2 linked regions of the Stegostoma tigrinum genome follow. The protein of the gene in region 2 purifies or fractionates together with the protein of the main gene of each other region. This does not show direct contact. Links are inferred from orthologs where the notes say so. Each region holds a gene or a part of one and is shown on either strand. Other genes may lie near its edges. The genes, in order: timeless and claspin.

The links.
Region 1: the proteins of claspin (region 2) and timeless purify together in Homo sapiens (affinity purification with western blotting; 4 studies listed by BioGRID). This does not show direct contact. The link is inferred for Stegostoma tigrinum from reciprocal best matches to the Homo sapiens genes CLSPN and TIMELESS.

The regions. Positions count from the first base shown.
Region 1 is NC_081404.1:19,198,942-19,215,583, forward strand, and holds the start of timeless (protein timeless homolog), read right to left. Parts: upstream 8,583-16,642; 5' UTR 8,438-8,582; intron 5,956-8,437; 5' UTR 5,934-5,955; coding exon 5,849-5,933; intron 2,985-5,848; coding exon 2,831-2,984; intron 1-2,830. UniProt on the Homo sapiens protein: Plays an important role in the control of DNA replication, maintenance of replication fork stability, maintenance of genome stability throughout normal DNA replication, DNA repair and in the regulation of the circadian clock.
Region 2 is NC_081377.1:22,634,215-22,649,876, forward strand, and holds the start of claspin, read right to left. Parts: upstream 7,830-15,662; 5' UTR 7,634-7,829; coding exon 7,601-7,633; intron 4,261-7,600; coding exon 4,152-4,260; intron 3,120-4,151; coding exon 2,638-3,119; intron 2,467-2,637; coding exon 2,302-2,466; intron 1-2,301. Other genes in the region: ncdn (neurochondrin), read right to left, coding at 13,641-14,074, 14,776-14,918.

The sequences.
Region 1 (16,642 bases), on a different chromosome or scaffold from region 2:
GAGCTTGTACACTAAAAATTTCTACTCACAACCTTACTTCGGGTTTGACCCTCACTTTTGGAAGCCCTATCCTAGACATGCAAAGTCTTCCACACCTGTCTTAGTAATGGTCGACGTTTGATAAATTTATAGTGCCCCTAATGTTGTTTCAACATGTCCTACATTGACCCTCTCACCTCTTACCAGAATTAGGAGCTTTCGGAGCAGCCTTCATGATCAGCTCCTAGACTCAAATAAAAAAAGTGTAATGACTGCTCAGCCTAACAACCATCCCATCAGCAAACACCCCCATCTCAAAAACAAACCTTCCAACTTTGAAAGAAACTACAAGAATGGAAGATTCAAATATCAATGATGTCCATCATACGCCCTCCATCAGAGGGAGGCTTATGTGACGATGAGACGAGATGGTTCAGATGAGGCGATGGAGAGTTACAGATTAGCTAGGAAGGATTTAAAGAGAGAGTTAAGAAGAGCAAGGAGGGGACATGAGCAGACATTAGCAGGTAGAATAAAGGAGAACCCTAGGGTTTTCGATAGATACGTGAGGAATAAGAGGATGACTAGGGTAGGAATAGGGCCAGTCAAAGACAGAAGTGGGAAGTTGTGGGTGGACCCTGTGGAGATTGGAGAGGGGCTAAATGATTATTTCTCATGTTTTCACTGAGGAACAGGAGAATATTGTAGAGGAGATGACTGAGCTACGGGCTACTAGAATTGAAAGGATTAAGGTTAGTAAGGAGGAGGTGTTGTCAATTCTAGAAGGTGTAAAGGTAGATAAATCCTCTGGGCCAGATGGGATTTTTCCGAGGATTGTCTGGGAAGCTAGGGAGGTGGTGGCGGAGCCTTTGGCTTTGATCTTTAAGTCCTCATTGTCTACAGGTTTAGTACCAGAGGACTGGAGGATTACAAATGTTGTGCCCTTGTTCAAGAGGGGCAATAGGAATGACCCAGGTAATTATTGACCTGTGAGCCTTATGTCTGTTGTAGGAAAAATTTTGGAAAGGATTATAAGAGATAGGATTTATAATTGTCTAGCAAGCAACAATTTGATTGGAGATAGTCAGCATGGATTCGTCAAAGGCAGGTCGTGTCTCACAAACCTCATTGAGTTTTTTGAGAAGGTGACCAAGCATGTGGATGAGGGAAGGGCAGTTAACTTCAGTAAAACCTTTGATAAGGTTCCCCATGGTAGGCTATTGGAGAAAATACAGAGGCACAGGATTGTGGGAGATTTAGCACTTTGGATTAGAAATTGGCTTTCTGTAAGAAGGCAACGAGTGGCGGTTGATGGAAAATATTCAGCTGGGGTCCAGTTACCAGTGGTGGGCCTCAAGGATCTGTTTTGGGACCACTGCTGCTTGTCATTTTTATAAATGACTTGGACGCAGGCATAGGTGGATGGCTTAGTAAGTTTGCAGATGACACTAAAGTCGGTGGAGTGGTGGAGAGTGTGGCAGAATGTTGTAGGTTGCTGGGAGACTTGGATAAACTGCAGAATTGGGCCGAAAGGTGGCAAATGGAGTTTAATACGGATAAACGAGAGGTGATTCACTTTGGGAGGAATAACAGGAAGGCAGAATACGGGGTCAATGGAAAGATTCTTGGTAGTGTGGATGTGCAGAGGGATCTTGGTGTCCATGTACATAGATCCCTGGAAGTTGCCACCCAGGTTGATGGTGCTGTTAAGAAGGCTTACGGTGTGTTAGGATTTATTGGTAGAGTGATTGAGTTCTGGAGCCGTGATGTCATGCTGCAACTGTACAAAACGCTAGTGCGGCCCCACTTGGAATATTGCATGCAGTTCTGGTCGCCCCATTACAGGAAGGATGTGGAAGCATTGGAAAAGGTGCAGAGGAGATTTACCAGGATGTTGCCTGGTCTGGAGCGTAGGCCCTATGAAAAAAGGCTGAGGGACTTGGACCTGTTCTCATTGGAGAGAAGGAGGCTAAGAGGAGATTTAATCGAGACATACAAGACGATCAGAGGATTAGGTATGGTGGGAAGTGAGAGTCTTTTTCCGATGATGATGACTTCAGCTTGTACAAGGAGGCATAGCTACAAATTGAGGGGTGATAGATTTAAGACAGATGTCAGAGGCAGGTTCTTTATTCAGAGTGTGGCAAGGGCGCGGGATACCCTGCCTGACAATGTAGCTAACTCGGCCACATTAGGGGCATTTAAACAGTCCTTGGATAAGCATATGGATGATGATGGGATAGTGTGGGGGAGTGGCTTAGATTAGTCCACAGGTCGGCGCAACATCGAGGGCCGAAGGGCCTGCTCTGCGCTGTATTTTTCTATGTTCTATGGGAGAGCCACCTAATTGATTGAGTTCATATACAGTCAATCTTTGTTTGTTGCATGGGTTTGATTACAAAGCCAACCTTCTAACGCATGTCCCTCTCCCCCTACCACACTAAAGGATTGTTCACAAGCTAAACACCTGCTATTACAAGGCTAGATTTGAAACTGTATTAGCTCTTCCATCCCAGAAAGTATTTCATCACTCAACTCCCACCCACCTCCTTTTCACCTCAAGTTTCCTTTCCTTTAAGGAATCGTGTTTCCTTGGATTTCTCAAGTTCCACTTTGAAATATTCATCACAAGGAGCCAAAGAGAGTCCCTTTAGACAAGCCAAATGGATACTTAGTTATCTTATTTACTCGATTACCTCAAATCACCTGTTTTAAAATTTGGAGATGATTGATATTTCACTGCTGTGGTCTGAGACACTACGTAAATGCAGATAACACAGCCCTTTTCAATGCAAGGAGCACTCTGCAAAAATGCTCCATGTAGCAAAACACTTTCAAACTTGATTGATACCTGATAACTGCTTCATACAGCACCTTCTCCTGAGGATACTGTGTGATAATGGGCAGCAGGTCATTCTGTAGAATCTGTGCAGCTCCCAGTTGCTGCCGAATGTCTCTTGTCTCATCTTCGTGTCTTAAGTATCGGATTAGGTCTTTGACACTCTCTGAAAAACAAGAATGAATTGCAGTCAGCATGTGCCTTTATAAATCAAACGTCACTTTTAGCTGGCTCCACTTCTTTTCCTGAAGCTAGTGGCTTTTGCTTGAGCATGTACTCAAGGGGCCATTTTCAGGCACAAGCAGAGAGTAAGTTCTGGCTGAATACGCTACCACGAGGCTGTCACAACCAAACCTGATTCTGTTCCTGTCCAATAGCCACATGTGCACCTTCCAGAAATAATTCTTCAATTGCAAAACAACAAAAAAAATTGTCAAGCCATGGGGCAACAGCAGAACTAATGGGCAGATCTTTCAGAGTGCTGACACATGCACTAGGAGTCAAATGCCTCTTTCTGTGCCACAACATTCTATCAGAAGCAGCAGCAGCTCTGGTTGATTTCCTTCCCATGTCTCTAACATTCCAAAGCAAACAGTCAGCTGGAGTTGGTTTACTGAACAAATCATGAATCAAAACTGCAGATTTCTTGGTCTGTAAGGCCTTGAGCGGCACTGTTACAGACAGATTATGAGTTTCAAAACAAATCACTCTCCCTGTTCTCACCACCTGTCTACATGTGGAGGTTTGCAATAGATTATTATTTTTTGAGAACTTGGATTCCAAAGTAGGGGCAAATGGGTTTTTGGCTTTCAGTTCTGTGACTGTGACATTTAAAAAAAGGCTAATTTTTTTTCTAGCATTGGATCAAAACAGTGTTTTCAACAAATCATGTGACTTAAGCTAAATTACTTGACCAGCTACCTGGAGAGATAATTGCTGAAGTGTTTACAACATTGAGCTTTTATGACTTGCCAAAAAAAAGAGAGATCAGAGGCAAGAAGCAGAGTCAGCTCAGAGGAAACAAACTATATCAGATGTGCTCTTTCACAGCCTTAACGTAGTTAGAAAAAAAAACTTTAACTTAGCCGGTTTGTCTCAGGGAGAAATGAGGAGAATCACATCTGGTGAATGCCAAGTAAGTCGTCGAAAGGAAACATTTGTAACCGTGTCAATTGAGTACGAAAATAGTGAAGATAGTTGTGATACTTCACTGGGGTTGGATGCCTGGAATGGACAACACTGGGAAAAAGGGATTAATCTTTCTTTTATAGATAATAAAATGTGAGGCTGGATGAACACAGCAGGCCAAGCAGCATCTCAGGAGCACAAAAGCTGACGTTTCGGGCCTAGACCCTTCATCAGAGAGCTCTTTTTGCTGTTTATCATATCACGTGGAATGTCTTACACAATTTTGGTTTATTTTCTATTACTGTGAGTAACACACTATTTTGCACAATGAACCTATTCACTGGAGGTTGCCAGTGACTGACCACCATGGTAATCAAATTGCAAAAGTAAAATCTATGGCCTATCAAGTCAGGTTTTACTCTGGGATCTGACTTGTCCAGTATTACCATCACCTGGGATTGTAAGCGTAAACAGTCAATACAGTGTGGACCTGTAGGAACACAGCAGAGCATCAGAGGAGCAGGCAAGTCAATATTTTGTGTTTACACCAGCAACTGCAATTCTTGCTACCTCCTAGTAACAGTAAGCAGACTGCAATTTAAATTTTTCTCCTCTCTTGAAACAGTGGGGTGTATTTCCCCATTCACTCCGTGGGTAGACTATAACTTTGTAAGGAACACAACATTACTGTAGGAAAATTAAATCTAAGTAGGGCTTATTTCACATGATCTCAGATACAGAGAAATGATTTGCAACAGAAGCACAATTACAAACATACATGGAGAGACAGGATAGAAAAGGATCAAGAAATTGTTCAATTAGTAAAACTAAAATACAAAACAACCAAGGGATACAAGTGCCCTGGCTTTTAAGATGGAGTTCAGAAGTCTAAAACTGCAGTTGGCAGCCTGGACTTCCTTTCTAGAGGTGGTTTGATTGGCTAGACAGCAGTGGAAGAGTTATACATAGTGTTTTCTCTTTAAAAATCTCTTCAAAATTATTCGGAGATAATTTTGCTAAAAGGAAACGTCTATTCCGTTGTTTTGATGAATGTAACTTTTAGTTGCAGAAAGCAAGTGTGGATGACTGCTCTTTACAGTAAGAGAAAACTTAGCAAGATTGACAAGGCCATTTGCCATTGTTTCCAACGCCTTGGCAGATACTAGTTGGTCTGTCCAATTTAATTCCTTTTATTGACTGTGACTGAGTGCTGCAGACTGGCACATTCCAAGATGCAGGACTACGTGCTGAAGGATGCACTAAAGCTTGCAGTTTATATGCCTTATATCCTGTTTTTGTACAAAATACAGAAACAGAACCGGAAGTGGTACCAAACACCCCAACAATCTGAGGCATATGAATAACAAGTGGGACAGAACACCAAAGCTTCACCAAAGGCGCACTGATGATATTACCTAGCACAGTGACAAAAAGTTTGCAACCAAACCCACTGGTTCAGCGAGCATGTATACTTTTGCAATTAAGAAAAATTCCTTTTACCATATTGTATAGGAGCTAGCTACAGAGTGGCTTGCTCGGCACCATTCCAGAAGGCATTTAAGACTCAACCACATTGCTGTGAATCATATGTAGACTAGACCAGGTGTGAATGGCAGATTTTTCCCTAAAGGACATCGGTGAACAAATCAAAAATGATTTCATAGTTTTCATTGTCCTAGTTTGTTTGTTTAATTTCAGTCCTTTTAAAATTAATTGGCAGGATTTGAACTCTGGATTACTGGTCCAATGACAATACTACTGTGTCACCAGTTTCCCCCTAAGTTTATGGATGATGACTGCCAGAAAACCCTGTCAATTGTGAGATACAGCTTTCATATAGTTTTAAGAATCAGGTCTCAGGATTTAAAGCATGACTAAGAGTACAGGCTTGAAACAACTCACCTAAACAATCAGGCTCTTTGTGATAGTTGTCCACTTCCAGGTATCCCAAGGCACTGCATGTTGCTAATAGTTCACAGTTCATCATGTTCAGACGCACACAGTGCACTCTTCAAAAGCAGTCGAGACATAGGACAAACAAAGGAAGGGCGGGGGGGTGGGGGGGGGGGGTGGTGGTGTGGGTAAAAGAAGAGAGAGAGAGAGCGAGAAAAAAGGGTGTAATTGCTCCAGTTGTAAAACAGAGTGTGGAAGAATTATTTTGTCATCTGCTTAAAAGTACACTGCAAATGAAGTGATGTTATAAAAGGATGGAAGATACAAATCAAATAGATACATCGGTGCAAAAAAAGGACAAAAAGTTGTGCTACTCCCACACTCCTACCATTGCACATTTCAATGGTCATCAATCTATATGATAACTCCATTTCTGTTTAAAATACAACCACACTTGCCAAGTGCTGCTTGCATTTGCTGTCCAGTTTCAGGTAATAGCAGAAAATAGCAAAATGGTTGCTAAGAATTTCTGGTCTTAATCATGCTGCTGTGGAATATAGAAAAATACAGTGCCGCCACCACTGACATTACTAGAGACATGGCAAAACAGGATGCTGGACAAGTGACCCATCAGTTTCTTGAGACTAACAGGATTGGCAAAAGTTGCCTAGTGCATCCTTGAAAAGAGGGACTGGTAGACATCTTGAGGTCTTATGAACATACGAATGGGGAGTAGGCCATTTGGCCCTTCAAGCCTGCACTGCCATTCAACATGATCATGGTTGGTCTGATTTTGTCCTCAACTCCACCTTCCTGTCAAACATGCTAACTTTTAACTCCCTTGTTAGTCTTAATAGTATTCATAGACTCTGCCTCCACTACTGAGGAAGAGTACTTCAAAGACCCCAAAGGGTGGCTCAGTCCTTAGCATGGCTACCTCACATTGCCAGGGACACTGGTATAATTCCAACCTTCAGTGACTGAGTGAATGGAGTTTGCACATTCTCCCTGTGTCTGCATGAGGATGCTCTGGTTTCCTCCCACAGTCCAAAGTCATGCGGGTTAGTTGGAGTGGCTATATTAAATTACCCATAATGTCCAGGGATGTGTAGATAAGCCATGGAAAATGCAGAGTTACAGGAATAAGGTGGGATGCTCTCCAGAGAGTCAGTGTGGACTTGAAGAGCCTTGCTCCTACACTAAGGATTCCAAGGCTCTCAGCCCTCAGAGGAAAACAAATCTCATCTCTTCTTGTGGAGTTAAAAATACATTTCCCATCCCAAAGAAAAAGCAAGCCCAACCCCAGGAGGTCAGCAGGATGACTGGAGTTTCAATCTTTTCCATTCCACTTGTGATCAATTGGTAATACCTTTAATATTTTTTTTATTGTTATTGTACCTAAGGCCCACATTCCCCTGCCATTGATGCCAAATGTAACACTCCAAATTTCTAAAATTAGATCAGAAGAATTGTCATAAGCCACACAATACCAGGTTATAGTCCAACAGGTTTATGTAAAATTGCAAACTTTCGGAGCGCTCCTCCTTCGTCAGGTAAAGTGGAGGGAAGCACACAGTCAAAGAATTTATAGGCAGAGATCGTTGCAAGATAATTCTAGGTAATTAAAATTTGAACCTGGAACCATTTAGTGCAATACCAAGCAACACAATTATTTATTGGACCTTCAAGTAAATGTCTCATGAGCTAATTTAACAGAACATCCTCCCTCTCTCTATTATCCTCAACAGTCCTACTGTAGTTTGAGGACGATTGGCAGTGCAAACTGTATTGGGTAAGGCTTGAAAAGTTGTATTGTTGTCTACAGTAAAGTTAGGAAGTGCACAAGATTTAAAAGGGGAAAAAAGCAATTTTTTATGGAGAGTGTTACTGATGTGACAGCACCAGTGACAACACTTCCCATACAAAGCAGGGGAACCTATGACATCAAAGACCTACATTTTTGTGCATCTTGTAAATGGTTGTTGAGTCCGCTAAAAAATGTGGAGAAAGCAAGTCTTAATTTTCAATTATATGTGAAAGAGAGTTAGCAACATGGAGAAACATAAATATGGGGCAGAAGTGCTTGGAAGTTTCACTTAAACTGTAGAAGCATTTTCCAACGTAAATGACATCTTCCCCCAAACCCAGAGCCCTTCATTCATCGGAGTGTCAGAAAGAAATGTCAGCTGATTTCTACGGACACGCTGAGCTTTCCATAATTTAAGATTTCAATGGATTAGCGAGATTCAGGCTCGAAATTTGTTTTAAAGTCATGCAGCCATATAAAACACAAAATCGAGTAAAATGAGGTACTGCTTCAATAAGAAAAATATGGGACGGACGGAAGGGGGAGGGGGAAGGAATAGATGATGGTCAAGAGATCAAATTGGCTAAAAGAACTTCGGATCCAAAAAGGAATATTTGTGGATACGTTTACAACCCGACACCGACAAATCGCAATGGTGAATTTGCCGGTACAGGCACGATCAAGCAGAATGACCTCCGTCTGCTCCAAAATCATCCCGTTTTTGACTGAAAAGATTTAAATTGGGGGGAACCGAACGATTTGAAACGGAGGAATAAAAGAGACAAGCTCACCTTAGGTTTTGCAAGCCAATTTCCAAGTGCTTATGACTGAAATGCTTGAAATATTTCAACTCGATTGTCCTTCTAAAATCTGAACATTCCGCGCTCCAAGAATTCCCGCCAACCCCGGAACCGCCCAACTGGGAGGCGGCAGGGGGGTGAAGACCTGAGAAACAAACAAAAAGCAGAAATATGCAACCTGCGAACACACAAGAAAAAGTATTATTAGTATTTGTTCTTTAAAATATTATCCTTTCCTTGGTAAATTTTAGAGAGGGCTGCGTACTAAATGTAACAGATATGTGTCTTGATTCAGGCCACCCCTCTCGAGGCGCATTTAAAACAGTCCAGGCGGAGAACTGCAACGCTAAATTAACTTTGTGTCAGATATTCCGGATTTCCCCGAATAGGTGATCGTCAGAGAACGTTTTACTATACGCGATTTCAGAACAAAGCATATTAGAACAGTAGAATAACACTGTCTCGTCCGAATAACTGTGAGCCCACTCCAATCTTGTATTAAAACCCCTTTAAATTGCTTTAGTATGAGTCACGGTGGCCGAGTGGTTAAGGCGTTGGACTCGAAATCCAATGGGGTCTCCCCGCACAGGTTCGAATCCTGTTCGTGACGATATACTTTTCCCCCCCCCGGGAAAGGGAAATACAACCGCCAGGAATTTGACGTTCACGTTTTGCTTCTGGGAACGTTCACTTGTCACACAGCAGTCCCGACATACAGGCATACCAAAGTAGAAACTGCACATCTTGCACACTTTGTAAAATTCACTCAATAAAACCATGAAAGAAAACTGCTAAAAAGCTTATTACCTATTGCATTAAAAATCACAAGTTCTGTTCACGATGAATTAAATGATCTTTTGGTTACCCATTGAACAGAAGCCTTTAATTTTAAAAGTGTTTCAGCTTTTCTTCCATGAAAGATCCATTTCCTCGATTGTTAAGTGTTCAAATCGTTTTGTTTACATCATACTCCAGGTTGTCAGGAGGACAGCTCCTACACTTAGAGTGTGATGTCACCCCAAGAAACTTTGAAAAACATTCATGGAACTAATTGCCATAACAGGTAGAAGGATCACTGCACCTAACATTGTTTCATATTTTTCTACATTTCATGCAACAATGCACGAGAGGTCCATTTCATTCCACCAGCTTGGGTCAACATTAACCCACCACATGAACCAAACACAATTATATAACATTTCCATATCCTTTTCAACCTTTTTGCCTTCATACACCCATCAAGTCTAATCTGAAATACTGGCATTGTTTCTGCCTTAACCACTATCCTAATTCAACATGACTCTTCTTCAGAATAGTTCCAAAGAACAGTCATACCCAATTCAAAACTAACTTTTTCCTCCCACAGATGCTGGCAAACCTGCTGAGTCTGTTCAGAATTTTTTTTAAATTTCAGATTTCCAGTATCTGTGGTTTTTTGCTTTTATGACTGCAAATTAATTCCAGTCTCACAACTGTATGCACAAAAAGTTCCTCCTGCCCTTCATTTAAAATCTTTAAAAAAAATTCAATGGTATCAGTGAACATCCTAGGATTTTGAATGAAGTGGATGCAAAGAAAATGATTATATGGTTAGGATTTTCCAAACTATACTGGTTTCTAAAATGATTCTAGCAAATCAGAAGTTGGCAAAATGTAACTGCTCTTTGAGAAAGGCAAGAGAGAGATAGAGAGAGAAATACTGGCCAGTTATCCTGAAGTCAGTCATCAGTAAAACGCTGGAATCTATTGTTGAGGAAGTCTTAACACATTTAGAAAATTGTAGCATGACCAGTTGGATCAAAATTGTTTTATGAAAAAGAAGTCATATTTGAACATTTATTGAAGTCTTTTGAAGTTGTATGTTATAAAGGTACATAACAGAGAGTCAGAAGATAGAACATACTTGAATAAAGGTGCTGCAGAAAAAGTCAACATGCAAGATAAGAGCTCATGGAGATCAAGGTAATAGATTAGCATGAAGAGCATCAGTTGACAGACAGGAAGCAGAAAATAGGGATTAAACAGGGCATTTTCAAGTTGGCAGCTACATGTAGAATTAGTGGAATTCCGCAAATGTAATATCAGTGATGCAGCCTCAACTATTTACAATTTATATTAATGTCTTAGACAAAGAGACAAACTAATACGACTAAATTTTCTTACAGTAGAAAGCTAGGTCAGGAGGAGTGCGGTGAAGACACCAACACTGTGGAAAGATTAAGTAATTGGGCAACAAGGGTGGGGGGGGGGGGGGAAATAGATCAAGATTAATGTGGGGGTAAGTGTAATTTTGTTCACTTTAGTATTCAGTATAGAAGATGTTTTAAAAATAGGTGTGATTTTAAATGTTAATGTTCAGAGATAGGTGTGCATGTACAAACGAACACAAAATTAGTAGGCAGGTACAAGAATAAAAAGTCACTTTGCCACAATTGTATTGGGCTTTGGAGAGAACACATCTGGAGTACCTTATAATAGTTACAATGCAGGAGGCCAATCAGTATTGTCTGCACAGGCTCTCCACAGGAACACTTTACCTGGTATCACTCCCCAATCTTATCCCCATTGCTGAGCACATGGGGGTGACAGCGTTGTCCCATAAGAGGCTGAGTAAATTGGGCCTATGCTGTCTAGAGTTTAGAAGAATGAACGTCAATAGCACTGAAACAGAGAGATTCTGGAGAGACTTGAGAGTTGACACTGATTGTTTCTGTTGGTTGGGGAAAATGGGCTACACTCACAATATGAATTAATTGTTTAATCTGGGATGAGAAGACATTTCTTCTTTCAAAAGGTTGTGAATCAATGGAAGTGTCCATTGCAGAGCTCAATTGTTGGGTATATTCAAGCGGAAGTAGACAGATTTTGACCTCTCAGGCAACCTAATGATATGGAAAACTGACAGGAAATTAGTTGAGACAGGTGGTTCGTCAGGATCTTACTGACTAGTAAAGCGGGCTAAAGTGCCATTTGACCTATACCCCCTTTGACCTATACCCCCACTCCTATTTCTTACATTCTATGACACTCAGTATCTGATGTCCTATTTACCGCACAGTATTAACAACCCACCTGCTTCTATTTGCCTTGGCCTATTATTTTACATCTATTACATTGGAAGGGTGAAAAGTGCAACAATAATTTGAATTTATATAGCATTGTTAAAATAGTAAAAACAAAATGACTCACCAGGAGTGATGAAACAAAATTTGACACCGAGTCACATAGATTAGGTTCAGGCAACCAAAAACTTCAAAGTGCTAGGTTTTACAAAGTACCCTGGAGGAAGAGGAGGAGTAAACCTCAGCCCGAGAATGGCAACCCCTCTTGTATTTTACCCCAACTGCCCATTCTTTATGTATGAACGTACTGATGGTATGTCACCCGAAAAGAACATCACAATCAAATCCAATTTGGTCCTCACCAAACATCTGCACACATCAATGTTTGCTAGCAAAGGTGGGTAGCAATAAACATCAGGACAACTTTAGCTGATATTTACTCCATCTTTACCCAAAGATACTGAAGTCCGATGTAGCCACACAGCTCCCTAAATCTCAGTTGTGCGTTTAGCCACTGGGTCATTCCAGTATTCACCTTCTCACGTCAATAATTTGCATTTAATTATATTGGGGTGCAATGTAAATGTTCCAAGGTACTCCACAGGGACATGAGACAAAATTTAACCCGAGCCACCAAAGTCAGTATGAGGAACAAGTAACCATAAGCTTAAATCAAGAATGTAGCCTTTAAAGGAGCATCTTAAAAAGGGATGAATGAAAGAAAGCAAGACACAAGAGATTTGGGGAAGGAATTCCAAAACCTGCTCCGTCAGCTGCCTATGATGTGGATATTAAAATTGTGGATGCTGAAGAGTCCAAAATTGGACCAGAGCAAAGATCTTGAGATGGTTTTAGGGGCTGGAGAAGGTGACAGGGAAGGGTGTTGACAGGGAAGGGTGTAGGTGGCGGTGACATATAAGGAGGGATGGGGGAGATTACAGAGATAGGAGGTCGTAGGAGATAATAATAGTCATAGTCATAAAAGTTGTACAGCTTTAAATAGACCCTTCAGCCAAAGCTGTCCACACTGACAATACATTCAAATCTGACCTAGTCCCATTTGCCAGCATTTGGCCCATATCCCTCAACACTTTTTATTCATATACCTATCGAGATGCCTTTTAAATGTTGCAATTGTAATGACTTTCACCAGTTCCTCTGGCAGCTTGTTCCATACATGCTCCACCCCCTGTGTGAAGAAGTTACCCATTAGGTTCTTTTCAAATCTTTCCCCTCTCATCTTAAACCTATGCCCCTCTAGTTTTGGAATCCCCTACACCTGGGGGGAGAATGACATTGACTATTCACCCTATCCATGCCCCTCATCATTTTATAAACCCACTACCAGATTACCCCTCAGCCTCCTGCAATACAGGGAAAGAAGCCCCAGCTTATTTAATGTCTCCCTGTAACTCAAACCCTTCAGTCCTAGTTTCAGAAATAGGGAATTATAGGATGTTAGAGATGGAGTGTGTTTTGGGGGTGGGGGGTGGGGGGTGGGGAAGAGCAGGTGCTCACCATAAAAGTGATTCATGAACAAGGAGAATCTTTTGAAAAACAAAAAAAAATGTTGGGCAGTAAGCAGCGTGATGATAGACACACCGGATCAGTGAGAGTTAGGACGCAGGACTTTTCTGATGAAGTGTCACTGGACCCAAAACATTAACTCTGATTTCTTTCCACAGACGCTGCCAGACCTGCTGAGCTTTTCCAGCAATCTCAATTTGGTTTCTGATTTACAGCATCCACAGTTCTTTCAGTTTTTAATTTGGTATATGAAATCATCCTTCAGCTCCACTGAAGTTGCAATGAATGTGCAAACATTTCCCAGCTCCCCCTCCCCTTAAAGTCTTGTGGGCCAAAACTGGACTCTGAAATCAGACTTTGTCTTGTCTAAAGCAGGGACTTCCTCAAACATGTATTCAAATGTATTGATTCTGCACTACAGATTTCTATTTGTTTTGTTAGTGATTGGATAAATATCCAATATCTATTTCGGGTTCTAATTTGCATACAGACAGCAGCTATTTTGTTCAATTCCTACAGGTCGGTGCAGCTATCATCACATCCACTGATATTGTGTTTTGTACTGCCTAAGCTGAGCTTTAGTTCAGCATCATCTGTACAATTATCAACTTTGCATAAAATCTCTAACATTCAGCAGATGAACATCACAAGAATCTGACAAGACAAACAAACCAATCAGGTATGTAATTAACTGGCCAATGTTGCTCTGGTGGGCAAGTATAAATATTTAAAACTATGCACCAGAACATAGTGCAGAACGTAACTAGCCTCATGCTCAGCTGGAGTTGACTGTCCTGGCTGAGGGATGTGAACAAAGTAGAGAGGACAAACCGTACTGGAAGCCAGGTGGTGAGATAGGAAAATAAAGATCAGCACATATGCAGACAGTGCAAGACACTGCGCAAATTGGGGGAAAAAAGGACACAAAGACCAAATACATACTATGAGTTTTATTTCACAGATAATTTATGAAAAAAAAAGTGTTTTGTTCATCATTAATACCAAGTGCCACAGCTTTTCAAATACATCACAACTAATCAGCTACAGGAGTCAATTCTGGACTGCAAACATTCTCCAATCACAAAATAAACTTGTGTAGTGTAATCAGGTTCACTTTAAAAAGACACGCACAGTGAGACAATACACAGCTTTATAAAATTTAAAAAAAAAAGCACTGAATTGTTTTCTGGAGCAACATTTTAAAAAAACACTTCATATAAGTTTGCTTGTTTTACTGCAAGATAACAGTTTCTAAAATACTATTTGATTTTCTATGTATATTATCCAATAGATAATTATTCCAATTGGCTGCTGCAGGACAATAGTTCCGAGAGGATTAATGTAGTGACCAAATTCTGCTTTTCCATCTATCACATTGGAAGTTACTTTAAAAAGGTCCGAGAGGCTAGGTAGATGATTTCCATACCCCTCCTCCCCAATGTAACTAAGAAATTAAACTTCTGCTCTGAGCAGAGGTAGTCAGTCAATCTCAGACTGGACAGCAATTGAAGAGATTATAGTTGACCTCAGCATCCTCAGGTTATGGAGGGACAAAACACATTGGGGTACTACTGCTAACTGCTTTTAAAGCAATGACCATAACTGGAAAGTGTATCAAAAATCAAAAAGATCAAGCCTATCTGGAATGCCCTCAAAAGCCCCTCAATAAGATGTAGAATAGCAATTTGGGACCAGATGGCCACCAGCTCCTCCTTGACAGGGATATGCAGAGAGTGTGAGCAGGAGAGGAGGAAGGAGAGTAGAAAGGAGGGATAGAGTAGAAGAAAATTTCAAAACAAAAAGAGGGAGAAAGACATAGATTATCTCCCATGAGGATATTCTCAGGTAGCTTTGTTTAGTCCCAAAGACAAGGATGTAAAGCTGGAAATGGAAAGAGCTCCTTTATGATTAGGCAGATTACTTGGCACTCAAAATGAAAACAGACTTATTTGTAAGCTGTCATCACTACTATAGCTTTCGGCACATTACCAGGTGATTTAAAGACAAATCCTTTCTGACTGCATGAGGACAGATCTTAATCAAGGGCACACAATCATTTTTGTCACAGATCAATTTCAGGAAGGGAGGATGTACAGAAGATGTTTTTTAAAAAAAAAGCAGAACCAGACAATAATTCCAGAAACTATCTTTCTGCCCATGGCCACCCAGATGAGTACCTAGCCCAGCTGGAGGTTTCATTTTTGTAAGCAACATCAAGCCACGTTGAGATCCAAACTGAAACATCCAAAAAAAAAGGGGACTGTGTAACACATGTTGCAAACCAATTATTTTAAAAAAAACTTAAACTTGGAGAGGCAAGTCTTCAACACATTTTTGCAGTTAAATTACCAGTCGCTTGTAGAAAAATAACAGGTCATGAGGTCCCTCGATGTGCAGGGGGAATGTCACAGTCATGTCGTTTACTACAAACCTTGGTGCATAAATTTGTATTTTAAGCCCTGCAAGAGCATTTACGATGCAGGACATAATATCTGTACTGATTATTACCGGAAATCAGACGTAAAACTAGCTTTTAGCTTGCTGAATAACATTCAACACAGAATCCAGGTGGCACAAGGTTTAGACACTTCAGTGGATCCCATGGAGAGAGAGAGAAAAAAAAAGTGTGACACTTCCTTGGATGGACGTTATGACATTCCTGAGTCCAGCCCCAAATTGAATAGAAAGAGTATTCCTTCATGTTGTCTAAACACAAAGTCCTCTTTTAACCTCAAAAAACCCCAAAATAAATAATGTAATTATTAGCCTTCTGAAACAAACCTCAAGCAATATAATCCTAGATTTGTGCTCAAAAATGATATACATTCAAGAATATTGGACAAGCTTTCCCTACAGTTTGAAAGGCATAGGAACTGCACAAGGGACGATGATAAAGATTTGCTGGATCTGAACTCACCTTTTAAAAAAAAAAACAACTGCCCAGGACTGAATCAATCCCACAGACCCAGTTTCAAACCCTAACGAAAGGTTAAACCATGTTTCACACTTGCAAGGGTTTTTGTAAACTTCAAATTTTGAATACTGAGGGAGAGAATTTACCAATTTGTGGACAAAGCAAAAAAAATTCCCGAACAGCAAGATTTTAAATCGAAATATGTACAAACATAAACTCTAACTAGAATGTATAGATTAACAACATTCTCCCCCTTACCCCTCAAGTCAGGATTTGAAGCACCATATTCAAAACCTCTTGCCAGTGGCAATTGGTCTGATTATTCTTGGCTGCTTTGGGTCAAAGTATAATAATTTGCAGCTGGAGCAGGGACAGGAGGGAAGCATAGCTCCCATTTGAAGTCAGTTAAAATGTCCAGTATTAGGTAGTTACTAAAGTACTGATACCTACTTCAGTCAGTTCCACTGAAACAAAGCCAAGTGAATTACATTTCTTTTTAAAAACGTACACATTATACTTGGGCTTTCTACTATCCCTTTCATTTTTGTTTTTTTTTGCAATCCTGTACTAGCTCAGCCTTCATTGTAACTTTGTGGCCGGCAATCATGCATTCGATATCCATTGCGCGCGCGCGCGCGCACACACACACACACACACACACCTCTTCAGGTATTTGTAGAGGGTGTTTCAAAA
Region 2 (15,662 bases):
GAGGGAATTTCAGGATTCTAACCCAGTGACAGTGAAGGAAAAGCAATACATTTCCATATCAGGATGGTGGGTGGCTTGGAGGGGAACTTGCAGGTGGTGGCGTTCCTCTGTACCTGCTGTCCTTGTCTGCCTGGATTGAAGTGGTCATGGGTTAGGAACATGCTGTTAAAGGATCTTTGGTAAATTTCTGCAGTGCATTGTATAAATGGTACCCTGCTGCTGCTGGGCCTTCGTAGTGGAGAGTGTGGATGTTTGTGGATACTGTGCCAATCAAATGGGCTGCTTTGACCTGGATGGTGGGAAGCTTCTTTGCAATTGTTGGAGCTGCATTGATCTAACCAAGAGGAAAATATTGCATCACATTCCTGATTTGTGCGTTGTAGACTATGGACAGACTTTATGAAGTCAGGAGGAGAGTTACTCACCACAGTATTCCTAGCCTCTGACCTGCTCTTGTAGCTACTGGTTATGTGGCAAGTCCAGTTGAATTTTCTGGTCAATTTTAACCTCAGGATGTTGATAGTAAGGGATTCAGTGATGGTAACACCATTGAACATCAAGGGGCAGTAATTAGATTGTCTTTTAATGGAAATGGTCATTGCCTGGCATTTGTGTGGCGCAAATGTTACTCAACACTTGTCAGTCCAAACCTGGATACTGTCTAGATCTTCTTGCATTTGAAGATGGACTGATTCAGTATCTGAGGAGTAACGAACAGTGCTGAACATTGCACAATCATCGGCAAACAACCCCACTTCTAACCTCACGATGAGGGGGAAGGTCATTGATGAAGCAGCTGAAGATGGTTGGGCCTAGATTACTACCCCGAGGAACTAACCTGAAGCTGAGAAGACTGATCTCCAACAACCACAACCATCTTCCTGTGTGCCAGGAATGACTCCAACCAGTGGAGAATTTTCCCAAATGCCATTGATTCCAGTCTGGCTAGGGTTCCTTTTGCCATAATTGGTCAAACACACAATCTTGATTTCAAGGGCTGTCACTTGCAGTTGTTCTCTGGGATTCCGCTCCTTTGTCCATGTTTGGACCAAGGCTGTAACTCACAATTATACATGCATACCGGTCCTTGGAACATATTGCGTGGGTAATGACGAAATCAACAGAAGTAAAGCTTCAGTCTAGGTTCCAACATTTGATCTACACACACACACACACACACACACTTTTGGAGCAGATATGTAGCTCGGGTTGTGGATGTTGTGGTCGGTTGGCTCACCAAGCCGGTTCATTGTGCTGCAGACGTTTCATTACCCTGCTGATTTTACCCAGCAGGGTAATGAAACGTATGCAGAACAACAAACCAATTCGGCAAGTCAACCAACCACAAAAAAAAGTGTGATTTTTTAACATGAAATTTTCAGTTCAGATAGCGGTGTTGTTTAAATGACAAAAATAGTTGTCTATATAAGGACAGTTTGACAGTAATAATTTATATTTGGAGGCAGTCATTAACAAAATAAAATTTCCCAAGACACGTGACAGAACTATTGCAAAATAAATTATGACAATGAGCCACCAAAAAACTATTAATTCATGTAAAGATACAGGACATGACTGAAGGCTTGGACAACGTGGTAAATGCCTTGTAGTGTAATAAGGAGAAAAAGGACGTAGCAAGGCTGAGGGGGAATTCCAGAGGCTTGGATCAAGTCAATTGAGCTCATCAATTATGAAGCAATGAAAAGTGAGGCTCCACTTGAAATCAAGTTCAGAATAGGGCACTGATCTCAGTACTGTCGGGTCGAAGGAGATTACAAAGATAGCTTCATACCTATGAAGCGAATTTGAAACTCACGGATAAAAATTTTAATAATCAAGATATTGTTTCACTGACAGCCAGTCAAGACAGTGAGCATAGGGGTTTTCAGGCAATCTACGATGCAAATTGTACTGATATTAATGATGGAATGTTTGAATTTGACCAGTTGCAACTGTCACGGATTTGTTGACATTTTGTCATTGTACTAATTGCAACTTAAAACTGATGCTCAACATACAAACGTACATTCACAAAACCCCATTTCTGCCCAATGGTTAAATCTCTATTTGTGGAAATTTACAACCATCGTCCAGATTCTCATGGAGTTCCCCAGTCTGGTCTCCTCTCTCCCATTTTCACACAAGCCACTAGCTCTAAATTATTTATCAAGGGCAAGGGACTCTGTTTGCATCTGTTGTATTGTACCGAAAAACATTTGATCACTTTGTGAAACAAAACTTGCAAATGTAGTTCACTTTGTGGAACAAAACCCAATTTCACAAGTTTCAAATCGGACTCACTTTGGATTGTTTTGCTTTCTTCTTTACAGCTGCTCGTATGGCATCCAATGACAACTCTTCCTCTGCATCAAGTTCATTCACATCATCCACTTCTGTTTCAAACAAGTCACTGTTGTTTAGCAGGCAGCCACTGTCATCTGCTGTCTCGTATTCTGCAGACTCTTCCTGAACAGAGATTAAAGAAATGCATTAAAAAATTGAAGTGATTAATGTATTTACTATTTAATACCATCTTCAAAACACAGTTGCAAGTAAGATTGAAAGATCTCAAAAGGTCGAATGGTTTAACAGTTCAAGCTTAACCTCAGAAGGCACCCTGTTAACTATTTTCCACACCATTTTTTCTTGTTTCTTCTTCTTTCTCTGCAGTTTCTCAACTGCTTCCAGCTTTTTCAGTGCTTTCTCTCGCTGTCTCTGGGACTTGTCCTTTCGATTTACTCGTTCTTGGTGATGTTTTGAATGTTCAGATATTTCTAAGCTAACTGAAGAGCTATCTGAATCAGAATTTTCATGTCTGAGTTCTGTTGTGGGCTGTTCCTCATTTTCTCTACCAACACAACTGGATTTTATTATTCTCACTTGACCTTCACCGTTAATAATATCCAAGTCACTTTCATCACTATCCAACAATACTCTCCGAATACGTCGCAGCCTCTTGCTTTTATCTCCCGCATTGAAATTTCGCTCTTCATTTTCATTGTCAACATCTGGTTCTGAATTGCTGTTTCTGTGTAGATTGCTTGCCTCCCCATCACTATCACTCTCTTGCAAAGGTTTCCTTCTAATTTTCTTGCTGGTAAAAATTTCTTCTTCTGAATCTGAAGAAAGACAAAAAAAGAGCAAATTCACATTTTTCCCCCACTTTACACTACATATCAACTTTTTGGCCCACTTTACACATTATTTGTTAAACAGTTTGGATTCATCTCACATCCCGCCTTTCATGCTATTTCGCAGTCATCTGCAAACTTGGCAACAGTATGAGCACTTCCTTCCGTAAACTCATTAATGTATACTGTAAAGCAGCTGTGGACATGACTTCCCTTCCATAAAACCATGACCACTCTTGATTCGATTATGAAGTTTTCCAAATTTGCTGCAATTACTCCTTAATAATTGATTTCAACAATTTTCCAACAATAGATGTTAGACTAATTTGTTTTTAGTTATGTGCTTTTTGCCTCCCCACTTATTGAATAGGAGTGTCATATTGGCTGTTTTCTAACCCTCCAGTCCTTACCCAGAATCCAAGGAATTTTAGAAAATTAGAACCAAAGCATCCACTATCTATGCAAACTCTTAGGATCTTTGGATGCACGGCAACAGGGCCAGGGGACTTGTGCCTTCAGCCCTATTAGCTTGTCGAATACTACGTTGCTGGTGATGGTATTTAATTCTTCACCCGAATTCATGGGATGTTTGAAGTATCTTTTATAAAGACTGAGGCAAATTATTTGTTTAACTCTACAGCTATTTGCTTATTCTGCACAACTATTCCCCCAAATTCATTTCCTAAGGGGCCAAGAATCACTGACGTCTCCTTTTTATATACAAAAGAAACTCTTATTGTCAGTTTTTATGTTCCTTGCTACCTTACCCTGAAAGTTGATTTTCTCTCAATTTATTCTGTCTAGTTTTGATGGATCCCAAATTTATCCTAGTCTAATTTTAACGTAAAAGCAGATAACTTAGATCACTGAAGCATTAACATCTGAAATATTCACATTTGTCACACTTAGAGAAAATGTGTAACAAAGTACTCCACAGAACAAACAATGGATTTGATGATAGAGAATTAATAACTAATAACTTTGCAAGCTGAAACAAATTACACATGATAGAACACAAACCTCCACCATCATGGCACATGTCTTTGTTTGAACGTGGGGAGACCATTCCATAACTTCCCTTGCCACTGTCGTTATCACTGTCATTTGTTTTTTCTTCACCAAATGTTAACTGGAAATAAAGTACAAAATCAGAGCCTACTTTGGTCACAGCTCATTCGGTGAAAAATTAGAATACGACAGAAATGGATTACAAAGTGAGCACACAAAGAGAGAAAGTTAGACACAGAACGTGTAACAACCGTTGCATTCTTCTTTGAACACAATTTCAAGCAAAAAGACTTCCTCCACCTGAAGATGATCATAAACATTTGAAAAATACAAGGGAGTCTTCAAACAGATTAATCAAATAAATCTCACAGGACTTACATGTCAGAAACAACTTTCTTGGCGATACCAGTTCATGTCAAAGTTTACGCTCTACTTGAGCATCCTCCCACCCAACTTGATTTATTATTGCTAGCATAGCCTTTGATTTCTTTCTCCCTCATGTGGTTTTTCTTAGCATTCCCTTAAAATGCATATTTATTTGTTTTGACTGCTCAACGATGTAGCAAGTTTCACATTCCAAACACACTTTAGGTTAAGAAGTTTGCCGTAAATTTAAGAGATGATCAAGCACTTTGACCCTTTTGAATATCCAAAAACTGGAAAAACATATGCTGCACCCATCTTATCAAACCCCTTTATCATTTTACAGTACTTCATCACTCAGTCTTTCCTCAAAAAGTTCCAGATAATTGAGCCTTTGCTAGTTATAAACTCAACACCAGCATTATTGACATACATCTTTGCTACACCATCACCAATGCTCTGGTGTCCTTTTAACAAACTCATTCAAATACCTTGCTGAATATACAGGTGAAAAAAGTGTTTGAAGTGGGAGATAGTGGCAATGTCACTGAACCAGAATCCAGAAGCCTGGCTACTGAGTTAAAACCACACCAGGATAGGTTAGGAATTTAAATTCAACAAATGAAATCTAGAACTAAAGCTCCTCTCATGAACCTGTGGTTGTTTTCTGTAAAACCCCTCAGTTTACTAATATCCTTTTGGGCATTTTCTTGAGGAAGGAAATTTTTCACCCATATCTGGTACTGGCCGTGACAAAAATCCAGAGTGTCTTGGTAGATTCTAAATTCCCTTCTGAGATGGCCAAGCAAGCCAGGTGGTGGAACTAGGCAGGCAACAAACATTGGCCTTGACAATGAAACCCATGAAAGAATTAGGTATCAAGGTAAAACCTGGGTAAATCATACACTCTCTACTTTGATACTACATGAAATCAAAAGAATTAAAGACATGCAAGTATCTCTGAAAGTGAGCACAAACGTTTTCACTGCTTTCAACAACCTTCGCAGAAATTCTGATGTACTCGATATTAATTGGACACATTGAATTCACTGAGTTAGAAAGCACAGTCTGCTGACCTCTATGGCAGAATATTTCAGTGAAGCATTTCGTAATAATTTGATATCTATTGCTTACTTTTCTAAATCGCTCTTCTGGCTTTAGTTCATTTTACAAGCCAAATACTCGGAAATGCTATGTTAGAACTAAGTTGATTAATATTTTATTTGTATTCAATTACATCTTCATAGCATTTTACAGCAAAAGGGATTCCATTGCCAAACTAAGATTTGTGATGGTTTGTGCTTCTTATTTGTGGCAGCCATGACATGAATGAACTTGCTGATACATTTACAATTTGGTCATTTCGAACTGCTTATGTTGCAATAACGAACAGTTAAAGTTGATTTTGCACCAACATGCACAGATATAAACTTCATTTTCTACATTTCAGCAAGTAAATGATTCAGAATATGTACAGAACCAAATAACCTCAAGTTCATGAAATGTCTTTCGTTCTCTAGGTGCACCCATCACCGTCTAGCAAAGAGACAAATGAGGAAGCAGCTACAACACAGGATGGATTTCTAGAACATGGAACAAGTACCTCAAAAACTGAATAGCTGCTGAAATGTTAGTATCATACTGGATGTCAAGACACTGCTTTACCATTCAGTCCAATATTTCTCAGCTAACAAACAGCAAAGCACTTTAATGCTAGCATTGCTGATTTGAATTCAATGATTAATTGCTGTAAACACACTAGTGTGATAAAACTGATATTGATGATGCATCTGATACTTGTGTGGGAACTTACAATGCAAATACAATGCTATGTGTGTGTTTCCAAAGTTAAACAAAGCTTTTCATCCTGTTCGCAAAGAACTACATTGGGATTGCAAACAGAATTGCAGATGTTGTTTATACATTGGTTTCACTAAATACTTGATCCAAAATCCCTAAAGGCCACCAAAAATTCCAGCTCAAAATATTAAGTTAAACTAGACCCCAAATAAGTTTGCCTATCCTCTTACTCAATATTCACGTTACATTGGATCATTGCACGATTTAGCCTAAAAGCTAGCATATCATATTCCAGATTCCAATCTAGTGGACCGAAGCTGGAACCCTGAAGATCTGACTCTGAAGATCAAAGCCAAATTATATCAAGTGCTTGGGTTGCGTTTATTAGCCCAATGACAAGGAATGACCTGGTTTGATAATTAGCCACACACAGAACTACCAAACAGTTTGGATCATTTCACCTCTCACTGTTCTAAACGGAATACACTACGTGCTCATTTAACGAGAAAAATAATGTATGGAACTGCGTGACTGCCCAAAAAGTTAAAAACAAGTAAGCTTAATCCCTTCACAGCCACTACTATATTTCACCTTACTAAGCTTTTCCTTACGTCGCCTCACGACTGCAAAGCAGTCATAAAGGTATATGGCAGTCTTCCACAAGTTGCGAAAAGATGTACAAAACAATGAAACTTAAAACTGCAAATTCATAAAAGTTAATTGCTTAAAAGTTGTGCAACAGAAGAACTAGGTAAAAAAAGTGAGCAGCATAAGTAGCGCCTACAATTTTGGGCGGTGATTAAACAGGGGAGGGAAAATTTAAGGTAGAAAGTGAATGCATGCTGCACCCAAATTATCAATAGGAAACCGCCAACTACCAACTCCCATTGTAAGGATCGTCTTAGCGAACCTAAAACAACACCCGCCAAAAAATATAAATTCACAATCTACAACAGACAGCTGGAAAATAAGACAAATCTGCAATGATCGAGTACGAAAGACAGGCCGTCATTAAAATATGAAAGGCTTTTAATTATAGAAACTGACATATTTAAACCCAGAGAGATTAAAAAGAACAATCAGCTGACAAGTCTGAAAGTGCCAACAGTCACAACGCTGTTGTTTTATTTCAGAAGGCACAGGATGATTCGCCAGACAAAAATACCGAGAAGAGTGGACTGCGGGTACAATCCCCAGTAGGTCTCAGGAGCGGAGACCGACAGCAGAGGGGCCTCCCTTCCAGCCAGCGCGCCAAGCCGGGGCCGGCCCAGCAGACCCTCCCTCCATTTTGCTCCTACCTCCGTGCACGGCTGTAGTTCGGATACTGACATCGCGGAGTAATTAACGGAAAACAAAACACTCGAGGAAGAAAAGGCGTCAGGTCGAAAAGGGCCGTGTGACTTCAGCAGCTCCGAGCGTTCCAATTAAAATAACTTCATCACGACCTTTAAAACCAAACGGCTCCAGCCCGGGAAAGCTCTGCCTCCGACTAACAAACTCTCACGGTTTCGGCCTTCGCGCCCAGCCGCTCAGCGCATGCTCCATCAGCAGAGTGCCATCCCTCCACTCCCGATTGGTGACGGGCCCCGCACAATACTCCGCCCTCTCGCTCTGTATTGTTTCCGACTCTGGAGGCGAGCCGGCCCCTTCAGTGTCGAGGCGTATCGAAACCCCGCCCGCTCTTGTGATGTCACCAGACCCCGCCCGTTCCCACAAATGATTGACATGTCCAGGATGGAACCTGGCGCCCGTCATTGGTGCGTCTTTCTCCTCTTGTGCTGCAGCGGTAAATTTGAAATAGATTTGTTGATCGACTTGCAGGTAATTCTATTCCCACAAAACCGAAATAGCTTTGCTGTTGTAATGCTGTGACGGTGTCTACACCTCTAAGCCAAGAGGCCTAGGTTTAAATCCCACTTCATCCAGAGTTGAGCCAAGATATAGAGATTCTCGAACTCGCAACCATAATGTCAAAATTTGGGCTGGACCGTTCAAGAGACATGCAGCAAGCACCTACACAGCAGTTCAGAATTCTCTTCCACAAAGACTCAGAGAACACAAACAGACACTTCAGTCTAATACGTCCTTGCCGACCAGATATCCTAAATAAATCTAGTCCTATTTGCCAGCATTTGGACCATATCCCTCTAAATGCTGCCTAATTATTTACCCATCCAGGTGCCTTTTAAACATTGTACCAGTCTCCACCACTTCCTCTGGCATTTTGGTCGGCACTCACACCACCCTCTGTGTGAAAAGGTTATCCCGATCCCTTCTAACTCTTTCTCCTTTCATCTTAAACCTATGCCCTCTAGTTTTGGACTCCCCCATCCTGGAGAAAAGACATTGTCTATTTATCCTATCCATGCCCATCATGATTTTAGAAACGTTTATAAAGGCCAACACCCCTCTGCCTCTGATGGTCCAGAGAAAATAGTCCCACTCTCCTCAGCCTCAAACCCTCCAACCCCAAACTGTTTCAAATTTCACACCATCCTTCCAATGTAGGAAAACCAGAATTGCAAGCAGCATTCCAACAGTGGCGTAACCAATGTCCTGTGCAGTCACAACATGACCTCCCAACTCATATTCTCAAAGCACTGACCAATAAAGGCAAGTATACCAAACACCCTCTTCACTAACTTATCTATCTACGATTCCACTTTCAGGGACCTGTTAACCAGCACTCTAAGGTCCCTTTGTTCAGCAATACATCCCAGGATCTTACCCTTAAGTGTACACACCCTGCCCTGATTTGCCTTTCCAAAATGCACCACCTCACATTTATCTAAATTAAACTTCAGTAACTTTTGATCAAGCAAAAGTATTGAGGGATATAGGCCAAAGGCAGGTTTACTGGCTGATCTGTGGCCACAATCAGAACAGGCCGGAAGGGCTAAATGACCTCCAGTTTTTATACTCCTATCTCTGAACAGGTAGATTAGAAAACATGTAAAATCAGTGTCTTCCCCCTCACAAAGCACAATTATAGGCAGTTCCCCTGTAACACAATAATTGAGTTCTTGTGCACCCACGTGCTATAGGGAAATTACTACAGAAAAATCACTATAGTGTACATTAGAAAGTTTGCACATCCAAACAGCGTTACACTAATAGTGTAATAGAAACACATTGAAATAGTTACACCAACATTTAACAAATATCTTTGTAAAAATACAAGCACCAAGCTTTATCTGAAAACTAAAACTGGCAAGTAACGAAGTTACATAAGCTAAACCTGCACTAGACCACGTTCAGTACTTCAAACATTTCTCCATTTCTATGTGGTAACCGGAAACGAGGTCTCTTGTGATGTAGTAGTAGAATTTTTACTTTTGAGCCAGGAGGCACGTGTTCAAGTGCTATCTGCTGCAGAGGTGTGTCATGACAGATCAGACACAGATTGATTAAAATTATCTGTTAAAGTGGAAATGCTTTAAGGGCACAAAAAATTCACAAGTATAACACAGGAATTACATAGGTACACAATAAAGCAAACTGTCCCCCTCACTTTTTCTGGTACAGCAATAATATTATCAGTTCTGCTTCACCCTCTCTTTCAGGAGGCTGCAGGGCAGAGCATAACTACATAGGCCACAAATAGAAGACGGTCACCAAGAAATCCAATGGTGAATTCAGAACAGAAAAAAAGAAATCTTCGCAGCTGAAAAGCCATAAAAAAGAACCACTACCACAGTTGGTAGTGAAAGTGCATAGCACGGGTGAAGATAAGGGACAAAACAAGCACGTGAAGAAAACTGGGAGATAGTTCAAATAGAGATAATGGGAACTGCAGATGCTGGAGAATCCAAGATAACAAAGTGTGAAGCTGGATGAACACAGCAGGCCAAGCAGCATCTCAGGAGCACAAAAGCTGACATTTCGGGCCTAGACCCTTCATCAGAGAGGGGGATGGGGAGGGGGTTCTGAAATAAATAGGGAGGGGGAGGCGGACCGAAGATGGATAGAGGATGGATAGGTCAGTCCGGGGAGGACAGACAGATCAAGGAGGCGGGATGAGGTTAGTAGGTGGGAAATTGAGGTGCGGCTTGAGGTGGGAGGAGGGGATAGGTGAGAGGAAGAACAGGTTAGGGAGGCGGGGATGAGCTGGGCTAGTTTTGGGATGCAGTGGGGGGAGGGAGATTTTGAATCTTGTTAAGTCCACATTGATACCATTGGGATGCAGGGTTCCCAAGCGGAATATGAGTTGCTGTTCCTGCAACCTTCGGGTGGCATCATTGTGGCACTGCAGGAGGCCCAGGATGGACATGTCATCTAAAGAATGGGAGGGGGAGTTAAAATGGTTCATGACTAGGAGGTGCAGTTGTTTATTGCGAACCGAGCAGAGGTGTTCTGCAAAGCGGTCCCCAAGCCTCCGCTTGGTTTCCCCAATGTAGAGGTAGCCACAACGAGTACAGTGGATACAGTATACCACATTGGCAGATGTGCAGGTGAACATCTGCTTGATATGGAAAGTCATCTTGGGGCCTCGGATGGGGGTGAGGGAGGTGGTGTGGGGGCAAGTGTAGCACTTCCTGCGGTTGCAGGGGAAGGTGCCGAGTGAGTTGGAGGTCAGTGTGGAGCGGATAAGGGAGTCGCGGAGAGAGTGGTCTCTCCAGAAGGCAGACAAGGGTGGGGATGGAAAAATGTCTTGGGTGGTGGGCTCGGATTGTAGATGGCGGAAGTGTCGGAGGATGATGCATTGTATCCGGAGGTTGGTGGGGTGGTATGCGAGGATAATGGGGATTCTCTTTAGGCTGTTATTGCGGGGGCGAGGTGTGAGGGATGTGTTGCGGGAAATGTGGGAGACACGGTCGAGGGTGTTCTCGACAACTGCAGGGGGGATGTTGTGGTCCTTGAAGAACGCGGACATCTGGGATGTGCGGAAGTGGAATGCCTCATCCTGGGAGCAGATGCGGCGGAGGCAAAGGAATTGGGAATAGGGGATGGAACTTTTGCAGGAGGGTGGGTTGGAGGAGGTGTATTCTAGGTAGCTGTGGGAGTCAGTGGGCTTGAAATGGACATCAGTTTCTAGCTGGTTGCCTGAGATGGAGACAGAGAGGTCCAGGAAGGTGAGGGATGTGTTGGAGATGCAGGTGAACTTGGAGGTTGGGGTGGAAGGTGTTGGTGAAGTGGATGAACTGTTCGAGCTCCTCTTGGGAGCAAGAGGCGGCGCCGATACAGTTGTCAATGTAACAGAGGAAGAGGTGGGGTTCGGGGCCAGTGTAGGTGCGGAAGAGGGACTGTTCCACGTAACCTACAAAGAGGCAGGCATAGCTCGGGCCCATGCGGGTACCCATGGCCACCCCCTTTGTCTGTAGGAAGTGGGAGAAATCGGAAGAAGTTACTCATCCTCACCCTCAACAACGTCTCTTTTGATTCCTCCCACTTCCTACAAACCACCAAGCCACTGTGCCACTGCAGTGGATTATTTCAGACCACAACATGAGAAGCAGCACTGTGCCATTTGGTCCATCAACAGATTGTGGCTGATTTGATAAACCTCAACTCCACTTTCCTATCTTTTCCCTTTAACCCTTGATTCCCTCATTTAAAAAAAAACCATCTGCTTCTCTCAGCCAATTAACAGATTATAGATTTTATGCCAGCAATAATTTAATTTGTGAAAGCACAAAAATGTAGTAAAATAAGCTGTAACATGAGGAAATTACTTTCAGTTTTGTTTTTCTCGACAATGTTCTTCAACAGAAGCAGTGTACATGTTCTTTTACTGAACTTTACGTTCAACATTTAAATAATAGTTTCAGACTTATTTTCTGTTTAGATGAATTAGAAATGACATTTAGACAATTTAGATTGAAAATACTTTACTCAAGTCTTATAATAATGTAAAAGAAAAGACAGATCGACACATATATACTACCTAATCACATAAAAAGATTCCAAAATGTTTAAAATAAAGTTCATCAATGGAACACCAGAAATGGACCTAAAGGAATAACACCTTTGCCCCACTACAAACACAGAGTGAGGTCAAGTGTGGACGTCAGTGCAACAGAGTCATGACATATGTACACGAAAGACCCTTTAAAATTAAAAAAAAGGGCAAAAACCTACAAATATCATATCTGAGTTTCACTGCCACTGATTTCCAGACATCAATTTCCAAATTGAGCAAGCAAATGTTTCAAATCACATATCTAGCCATTTTTGCTCCTTCTGGAAACATTTTCTCAGTAGCCCAGGAAAGACATACAGCAACGGCATTTCTGCTGCAAACTGTAATATTGCTGCCCTTTACAAATCCATTTTTTCCACCACTGGATTGGACACTTTGTGCCATTGCAGACTGTTATGCAGGACAGTCAGTGCTCCAAGATGAAGTTGCAAAAGATAATGAAAGGCATAAGCATTAGTTCAAATCATTTTTGGGGGTCAGTGGATGGAAAGGATATCTTATCTATGCAGGGAAACAAAAAACAGATCTACCAGCTGTGAAACCGTTGCACAGAAAATGAGATGTCAAAATGGTACTTTAATGGATCCAATTCTAAATGAAGTTAAAGAGTCTTACTGCCAATTCCAATTTAAGCTTTTTTTAGATTTTTCTATTCTTGTCCAAATTCGTCTGATTTTCATTCAGTACGATGTAAAGGTGGTTAGATACTGAAATTCTGCCTTAGCTATGTGGCTTAAAACTGAAACTTGGAAGCCCATCTCCTCCCCACAGCATCAGCATATAATTTCTTTAAAGTACTGTATTCAAACTGACAATTTTGATCTGGATAAGTTCTACCACATCCTAGGATTTCTATGATGTGGTCTCTTTCCCATTAAGAACTGGATTAAAATTATATAAACTAATTTTATTTAGAACCAGCTGAGCTAAGACCGGAAGTGGACGTTTTCTTTTCAATAACTTGGATTATTAGTCAACGACGCAGCTGTACAATTAACCGATAAGCTATTTCTATGTGTAAAAATCATACATTACTTCTTGCATTTCTGATTTAGAACTGTCAAAACCCTTTTTTAAAAAATTGTACGATACTGATTATGAAATATCTTCTGGAAGTGGGCCGTATTTTAGCACTTCTCAACCAAAGTTGAAAATGCATGAGTGCAGCAGATAATGAGGGCAGGAGAGGTGCAGTTGCTGCACCTCCTAAATTAAAGCCAGTTTTTAAAAACAACTGGGCAGTCAAATTTAACCAGCTAATGACAAACGCTGCAACACCTAAAATTAAATAAAATGTTAATTATTTTTTAAAAATCTTCACCAGCATTTTGCCTGGAAATACAGCCATATGCCAAGCCTCTTCAAATCACTGCACTGGTGGCTTTCCTCGGCCAGTTTGCATCGAGGTTGGTTTGTCATTAATTTTGAGAAAGACAGTGCTCCAAAGCTGCCATTCCATACAGGTTGGCTTTATCCTCACCAATATTTAACATAATGTCTTTACATGGTTTGCTGTTCTTGGCCAGTTCTGTTAAAACACTCTGAAAGGCAGCAACGAGGTCAAACTCCACGGTCACAGGTGAACTCTTATTTAACAAAACAAAAATGTCTCTCAACCACTCTGATTCAATTACACTTTGTGGTAGCCATGGTAGCAAAGGTACACAACTAACAAAAGCCTGCATTCCCAGAAACCAAAGCTCTGAGATTTGATCCCAAGCTTCTTGGTATCTCTCAGTCACCACAATCTGTGTTTGGTCATCAATTCTGTTTAGCTGCGTTGTATGTGCTTTTGACAAAAAGTGAATTGCCCCTCGGAAAAAGCCCTTGGATACTGTAGTTCCCTGTAACACTGAAAAAAAAAATGCACAGTTACTCCCAAAAGACAAATCCAGGCTGGTTACAAATTCAACTTCAATGCAAAATTCAAGATTGACAAACTCTTGATCTCCAAAACTAAATAATATACATTTACCTGTCTCAGTTTCCTCCTCTTCTCTGATCCTTGGTATTTTTTCTGTCATTTTTAAACCGCTTGTAAATTCAGCCTAGGTTCCAAACTCTCACTTAATCCATCTCCTCCATGAAACCCATTTCCTTCACAACTGATTCTAGTTACACCATGTATTTTAAATCATTTGCCTTCCACTGTCGCACTATTACTCTAGCAAAGACCTTCCCTCCTGCCCTTGCACAAGGCCCACTGCTATCACCAGCACAATATGTAAATTTAGATCAACCTGGTTATTCTCTGCTCTAGCACTGCATTAGTAAAAGAGACACAATGCTTTAATGTTCTACAAGTTTCCCTTTTCTAAGTACTGTAAATAATGCCAGTTGTACATGATAGATATTTTTAAATCAATCTGTTCAGAGAGTTATGACATGTACAGTAGAGGTATGTCTTGAACCCAGACCTTATTGCCCAGAGGCAGCAACACTTCAACTGCATCACAAAAGCCCCTGGTTTTGCATTATATGTAGTGTTTGAGGCTGCTCGACAATGATGAGGTGGGGATTAGGGTGCTGAGTTAATGATTTCCTGTTCCATACCTGGTGTGTCAGCAAGTATGCGACTCATCATCAGCCCCAAAGCTGTGAAATTAGCAGCAAGAATCAGGTGAAGCTGGTTACAAAGCAAGGACTGCAAGGATTCCATTAACAAGCTAAGTAAAGATGAGAAACATTCTTCCTGCCTGCAATGACATTAAAAAAAAGACAAGTGTAAGAAATAATTTTAAGAAGTTGCAATAAAAGCCTTCAAAAAGAAAATCCGTTTGTCCACAAATATAACAGGTCAGACCAAAATTCACCGTGAAATCCATTCAATGACACAATTGTTTGAATTACCCTTTCAGATTCTTTAGTTGCAAGAAAAATCAATAAGTTAACAGCCTGTGATCAGCTGGGCAACTGTAAATGCGGACACTGAATATTACATACAGAAAAAGTGTCTGACGCTTGAGTGAGCTTCAAAATCATTAACTCTTGCCCTCTGGTACCTCAACAGATTGACTGAGGGAGTGGTCAAATCATACAGCCAAGGAACGACTAAGGATTGGTCCTTAATCTCAAGCTCCGACAGCAATAGGGATATTATAACTGACCAAATTGGAAACAGTAAGACAAAAAAATTGCAGTCCTAGTGTTGTTACTGCTATAATAACTTCTGCTGGAAATGCACAGGGGGTAAGATCAGGGTAACTCAATTACTAAGTAGTTATGGTAAAAGACCAGTAACATTATCATTCCACCATAGCAAAGAAGTTAACTCAACAAAATCTCTTCTGAGTAAGTACCAGACAAAAACAAACTGTTCATCATAAAGGCTGTCAGCTTCTGGCAGGAATCTGCTAGTCTTAACTGCTCGGACCTACACATGGATGCAGTCCAATACTAATAATTGCTTTTGAGAGGAATCCGGCCATCTCACTGATTCT